2 linked regions of the Arabidopsis thaliana genome follow. The protein of the gene in region 1 interacts with the protein of each later gene in a pairwise test. Each region holds a gene or a part of one and is shown on either strand. Other genes may lie near its edges.

Evidence for each region. The genes of interacting proteins can lie anywhere in the genome.
Region 2: the proteins of MYB0 (region 1) and GL3 interact in binary tests that used the Arabidopsis thaliana proteins (3 or more experiments, as listed by UniProt).

The regions. Positions count from the first base shown.
Region 1 is NC_003074.8:10,361,908-10,365,667, forward strand, and holds the start of MYB0 (myb domain protein 0), read right to left. Parts: upstream 1,701-3,760; 5' UTR 1,600-1,700; coding exon 1,461-1,599; intron 1,352-1,460; coding exon 1,222-1,351; intron 456-1,221; coding exon 38-455; 3' UTR 1-37. UniProt on the Arabidopsis thaliana protein: Transcription activator, when associated with BHLH2/EGL3/MYC146 or BHLH12/MYC1. Involved in epidermal cell fate specification in leaves. Together with TTG1 and GL3, promotes trichome formation and endoreplication.
Region 2 is NC_003076.8:16,527,231-16,530,990, reverse strand, and holds the start of GL3 (basic helix-loop-helix (bHLH) DNA-binding superfamily protein), read right to left. Parts: upstream 1,902-3,760; 5' UTR 1,694-1,901; coding exon of another isoform or gene 1,692-1,693; 5' UTR 1,559-1,691; coding exon 1,413-1,558; intron 1,072-1,412; coding exon 790-1,071; intron 211-789; coding exon 114-210; intron 17-113; coding exon 1-16. UniProt on the Arabidopsis thaliana protein: Transcription activator, when associated with MYB75/PAP1, MYB90/PAP2 or TT2. Involved in epidermal cell fate specification.

The DNA of each region.
Region 1 (3,760 bases):
TTATCTCAAAAATTCAAAGACAAATTCAAAACATCAACTAAAGGCAGTACTCAACATCACCAGAAGCAAAATTCATCATTACGAGTGAACTAAGCTCAAAATCGTCGTCATGAACCCATAAAGCGTTATTGCCATAATAGTGACTTGGATCATTAGTAGTTGCCATTAGGACATCTTTTTGAGCCAGTTCTTGTTTTGGTTTATCCTCGTACGAAGCTGATACGACGCCGTTAAAGCTCTTGGCTATATTCTCGTAGATATTTTCTTGTTGATGATGACAAGAAGAAGGTGTGGCGGCAGTGATGAACAATGACGGTGGAGAGTCGTCGTCTTCTCCGGTGGTTTTGACGGCGGAGGAGTAATCTCCGACGAGTTTTTTGCTGAGATGAGTGTTCCAGTAGTTCTTGACTTGGTTATCTGTTCTTCCCGGTACTCTTTTAGCTATCAAAGACCATCTGAATTTGGGGAAAAAATATTATAGGACATTTTTATTAAATTCATACCATATAACATAAATTATAACATACCATATGTTTATGATTCTTTTTATTATTTCGACATCTGTATGTGATTCATAAATGAATGCATATTTATATACATAGAGAGGATTTTTTATTTTTATTTTTCAATTGTGGAAAACGTTTCTAACTCTATAATGAATTTTGAGAAGTGACTGTTTGCACGACTAATACACTTATGAAAAAGTGTCTATTATTCATTAAATATATCCACTTGAAATGTTCGAACATTTTTAAGTTCAAAAGATACTCTTAAAGATTTGTTTTTGGAGGAAACACCTTTTAAAATTGAAATAACCCACCAACACATCGGTTGAGTTTCATTGAAGAGAAGACAAACTTTTATCTTGTGCAACTCTTTTCTTCTTCAGAAAAATATATCAACTTGAAAATTTTGAACATATTTTAAGTTCAAAGGATTATTTTTAAGATTTATTTTGTGAAGAAAACACCTTTTGAAATGTGAAATAATCCACGAACACATAGTTTAATTGAAATAAAACAGTCTTTACTTGTCAACTCTCTTTATTTTTACATTTGCAAGTAAGAAAATCCTTCAATTAGATTTTTAAAAATCAACTTAACCGGCCAAATCTTTGTTTAAAACAACAATTCAAATATTTGACGAAAGAAAAAATCAGTTAACGATCGATTAAATAAAAAGACATGGTGTATAATATTGTAGTAACATAAAGTTATGTACCTATTGCCGAGGAGCTTGTGGAGACGAATAATGAGGTCTTCTTCTTGTTCAGTGAAATTGCCTTTGTTCACATTAGGGCTCAAATAATTCATCCATCTCAGTCTACAACTTTTCCCACATCTCTTTAGCCCTATCAACGAATCAAATTTAGTCTAACTGAGATATATTTATATATGAACTAGCTAGAGACTAAAGTTAATATATATAATCACAAAACGCGCGAGAGAGAGAAAGAGTACCAGTTTTTCTGACGATGCGGTTCCATTGGCCAGTGCCATGATTAAGAACATAGTCCATAAGGATGTTGTCTTCTTCAACTGTCCATAAACCTTTCTTGTATTCTTGATTCTCTTTTTCATCTCTTCTCCTTATTCTCATTCTTTTTTTATTCTCTGATTCCTTCTATGTTTGTGTGTGTCTGTGTGTGTGTGTGAGAGAGAGAAAGAGATTATGAGTAGTGAACTTATGATGGGTTTTCGTGACACGTGCTTATATATACACTCACATCAATACGTATCTTTGTGTAATCATGGCTATAAGCATAAATATGTACCTAATAATGTATAGATAGCGACTATAGCGTTATCCTTTGTTACCCTACGTTACGTATTAAAAGCTAAAATTTGGCAGTTGGTTTAATTGTATCTATGGCCAAAAAATTTATAAAAAAATTGTTTTTTCTCCTCTGGCAATATCTAAATACTATACTTGCGACATGAAATTTACAAAAACAAATCTACTAAATATGGGGCAGATTACTGCGAAATGTTCTATATTGTATGATTTAACTGATTTGTAATTTATTTGACACGTTAACCAGTTTGTTTATGCACTGTATACACTTACATTCTACTAATATTTGATAATGATCTTTTTCATTGGAACTACATATTATTTTTAGTTATTTATACAACAAAGTGGGATCGGAACAACCTATTTAAAAGTACCACAGAGTTCACCCTAAAACAGTTTTTTTGCAGAAGATAAAACATGAAAAAAGAAACTTTGATGGATCAATGAAATGGTTCTCCTTTCCATATGTCTTGTTTCTCAAATTATAGTCAACTTTTCGACATACTTTTTAAAAGTTCATGAGGTTACCCTCTTTAATTGAGTTTTAAAAATAGACCACAAAATTTATGTGTTCATTTACATATCATATCGATTTAATTTCTTAAATCTAATCAGATAGTTTAGCCTGTATACTGATTAGTTAGTCAAAATGAGAATTTTCAAGTCACAAGTTCGAACATTATAGTAGATAAGAGACCAAATTAATCTCCTCTAATTTTCGGGGTAGAAAAATTATGGACCTAAATTATATATATGTGTGTGCATACTGTTAATATACAAAGACATATATATATATATATATATATTTTGATGAAAGGTTTAATTTATTTACTCAAGAAAGCGTCTACGTACAAAGTATGAGTATATGTTGAATACCATATAACCTAGTTCCAACTAACAAGTTAAGTGGTAGAGAATAAAATAGTGAAACTGAATATGTAAGGAATATGTCTCACAACTATTTAACTAAATAATTGGAGGAATAGAAGCTCTGCTCTTCACTTGTCTCCCTACTTACCAGTTACCACCTTCCTACTCTCTTCTACTTTGGTTTTCGAGCTAGCTTATACATATACCCTTATAAATATGCATACTATTTACTTGCACAAAAACAGAAAAATATAGTTTCCACTAGCTAAATAGTATTTCGGTTATAAAAAAACTACTTTAATTTTTGACTAACTCGAGAAAGTACAAACAATTATTTCTAAGAAATGTAAATTATGTATATGAAGTAGCTACTATCATTATTCTTTTTACTTATAAGTACTGTAGTTTTTTACTCAATGTTTTTGTTATTAGGTTTTTTAGTATTAAGTTGTTAATATTGGGGCTACATAAAGCCAAACAAACATATATGATTGGCATAGTCAAGTTCTCAACAAGCTATCCTCTAACGAAGCATTTGGGTAACGACATGTCGTCGTATATATATCTAGATACACGTACATATTAAATTAGAAATTTACTCCAAAAGCAGAGGATTCTCGTAATCATTACCAAGTCGGCTCGAAAGTAGTTTATATACATTACTATGAATACATTTCCAAATGAAGATGCCCGTGATTTATGACCCCACAAATTCAAAGACAAAGACAAAAAAAATATATACCCTATTAAACCGGTTTGGTTTAGATACAGTCCCAACCATAGAAGATACAATCTTACTACATATACTTTACGTTGCAAATTTATAAATACCAACCCATGTCAGTGTCTTGTTGGTGTTGCTTAAAAAGAATGACACAAATATTAAATTCCACGTAGGGACCTTCGCTGATCATTACATATTCGGTTCGTTTTCACTTATCACGTGGGTAATATTTGATGTTATGAAAGTGTTCAAAAACTACGTAAATTATAGTTTTTGCACCCAAAAAATAAAATACAAATGGTTGAGTTTGTATACAGGGAAACATGCAGACATAACCTCAAACTTTTTTTTTTTTTGCAAAGCTACCTTTCA
Region 2 (3,760 bases), on another chromosome or scaffold:
TCTTAACCGCAGCACTCTAAACCACCACAAAACGCAAACAAAAACGAACGATTTTAGTGTTTTCAAATCGCAAAAAAGTGTTACATAGCAACTACATCAATACTACAACTTACTTTTGCTAGAAGAGAACGGCTAAACACTTTACTATCCGCCGTATGAGCGTTGCACAACCATATCGGTTCACCGTTTGCAAACGTCCGTCCAGGCATTCTGCAAAAAGACAGGTTCATTTAGAAAGCAGCAATGCATTCTAAGCTTAATTTTTCCACATTTTTTCTTCCTAACATATTCATAATTATTGAAAGTTAATTAGCCGTGTTCATAAAGACCAAAATGAAACGAATTTTTTAATTAATCCGGACAGAAACAAACTTTTGTGATGATAAATAAACCGAACTAAACTCGAATCGAACACAAATATACTGCAACCAAACCGAATTAATAAAATTTATTAGATGTAGAATAGAGTTAAACATACTAATGCATATATATACACATTATTATTTAAAATTAATTATGTTTTAACTTTTTCTTTTGTAATCTGAAACCGACCAAATCCGGACATTAAATTTTGAAACCAAACTGAAACTAAAAAATTGGTTCTAGCTCATACTTTTTTCCTGCAGAACCCTGAAATCTAACAAACCTAAACTGAACCATAAAAGTCGAAATCCTTGGACCTACTAGTATTAAAAGTATATTTTGGCACGTTGTTTAAAACTGGCAAAGATCAACACGATCATGACACATAATAAATGTCAATGCTGATAGAGGAAAAGACGGAATTACCCTTCACCAATGTTGAAGACGAAAGACATACAAACCAAATAGTACCACTCGGTGTCGGCGAGATCTTCCGGTGAAAGTGCGGCGGCGGAAGCTCGTCTGGTGACTTGAGATCCGGCAGCAACGCCTGAAGAAGAAGATTCAGCGACGGAGAGAGACTCGTAAAGCTCGCTAAGCTGCTCGCTCCTCCGTAGACCAAGCTGATCAGCTTTGATCTCCGAAGCTTGAATCGTCTTCCTCGTTTTGATATCTCCATTATAGTATCCATCTCCCCATTCTAAAACTCTTTTTATATATAGAAAAACAAAAACAAATATCAAATCGAATAAAGAAAACAAACAAAACATTTTCTTGAACTAATCAAGAACTTCAAGAAGAAGAGAAAAAAAATTGAACTTTTAAAGAAGATCAAGAAACCTTATATGAGTTTATAAGAAAAAATCAATGGAATCAAGAAAAACCTAGAGAACCTTGTCTTGAGTTGTAGAACTAAACACTAGTTTTGATTTGAAGTGAACACATAAGTTTTATCTAATTTTCCAATTAAAATCAAGAAATTTACTTCATCAATATCTTTCAAAATCTCCAATATCTAGTGTTCAATGAATATGATTTAAGAAACTTACCCAGACTGAGAAGCAGAGACAGACCAAAAGATACCATAACTCCATTGAATGTTTCGAACTGAAACTGCGAGGTGTTTCTTCAGATTCTCTGGCACAGTTGTTCTGTTTTGTCCGGTAGCCATTGTTTCTTCATCCCTATATCCCATGAAACCACACACAGGGAAAAAGAAAAGAAAAGAAAAAAATCAAACTTTTTGTCCTGATTTAGAAAGAAATAAGATACTATGTTAAATTTATAGCCTAAAAAAGAAAGAAAAAGGGAAACTTGTAACTCTTTACATTTTTTTTGAAGTATCAGAGAGGATACAAACTAGATGTTAAGGTTTTTGTGTTTGTCATTTGATGAAACAGTTGCCGTTTTCGCCGGAACAAACAGAGAAATGTTTGAGAGTTTTTTTTTTCTTTGGTCACTCCATACTTTTTTTTTATTAATGTTGTTTTGAATATTAATTTTGTTGTTGTTTGAGCTTGAACTCGAAAGACTAGAAGAACTGTCTACGAATCCTTTTTTTCTTTGAATATGACGATATCATCTTTGTTGTGTACAGAACAAAACACAAGACATTTATGACGAAAATAAAAAGTACTTATAATTTTTTAATGATTTATGAGAAAAAAAAAGGATACAAAAGTAGAGGAAAAAAGCAAAACGCTGATGTTGATTGATTGTTCCTCTTTTTATCTTGAAGTTGATTGATTAGTTCCTCATTTGGGAAGAACAACCTTTTTTTAAGACAATGAACTACAATGTCCATTGTTGTGGTCTTGTCTTCAATAAATTCTCTATTCAGTCTCTTTGTGGTTCTAGAGATCTCTTTTTTTTGGGAATATTGAATCATTGTGTGTCTCTTCCAACACTGATTTTAAAGTTAAAATGTTATCACGTCAAGGCTGAACTTTTCACCCATCTATTCTTGAAAAAAAATGTTTCCCTCACTTAATATCCCCACTGATACCAAAAAAAAAAAATTTGTTTCCTTGACTATTAGATCTTTGAAGCAATGTTGACTAGAATACCATTAGCATGTGATCCAAGTCCAATCTAACCAGCATCGTATGATTTCTTTCATTTTGTATAATCTAATCAGTCTTATTACTATTTGAGTGATCGAAATATATTATTGTCGGTGAGTAACATCGTTTTATGAATTTTCCAAAAGTACACAAAACGACCAAAAGTATAATGTCTCAAATCAGAGTATATGATTAACATATATAATAATAGTAAAATCATCAGCTTTTTACTTGGTGTCAAAACGAAGCTAATCGCTATGAATCTAAATTATAGTCACAAACACAATAATAGATAAATTGAGGAGGAAAGAGATAATATAAGAACAGTCTTTACTAAAATTGGGAAACACAAAGAAAGACACGAAATTAATGTTTGGCCTCGAGGAGTTCCCCCAATACGTACAGACACAATCTTAATTTTTGCAATCACATCTTTAAAATGAATAAAAATGTTATGGACATTTTCGACGTTGATTCTCCCTATAGTCATATACTTACAATATTATTATATTTCAAAATTCTCTTATACTATTAAACCTATATTTTCGAAGTATTTATGCAACTATTTAAAATATAACTTTAAATAAAACCCTGCTAAATGGACCATTAGTACTTATTATTTTCCTTTTCTGACATCTAGAAAAGAGAGAGACGTTGACGTCAGAAAACATTAAAATATATATACACGTTCGGTCCCCTACAAGATCAAAGTCTAAACATTCGTAGTGCTGTTGATCGGAGGTTTCGGTAAATTAATCGGATGTGTTGATGTTTGAGGGTAATATTTAGGAAATTTGGTATAGCTTTCGATACAACAATATAAAATTTGTCTGATCCAAACTTATGTAACACTAATATATATTGTTATTTTCAATCAGAATACTAACTCAAGTTAAATGGGGAATTCAACTCCTAATCCGATGAAGCCTTGCTGGTTTGGATCAAGACGTCATCTTCACTTCAACAACTCCATCTCCTGACTCCTATCTTTCGCTATGGTTTGCTAATTTCCAACAAAATTAGACCACATCTTTACTGATCTTACTAGAACACTCGTCTCTATATGTTTATCTTATTTGATTGTATCTGAGCATTAAGGCTCCTCTGTAAGACCTCTTTCATATATATAAACGGAACTAATTAAAAAAAGAAGTAATATATATATATATATAGGGTATATACTATGTTGTTATTTTCTTGACATAGACGGCACAGAAGAAATAATGTTGTAAACACGGCCATTAAAATCATAAACTTTTGGGCATGTACGAGAAGATGTGAGAGATTCAATGCTATGTATAGGACAATGGAAGCATGACACTATTTTGCTATTA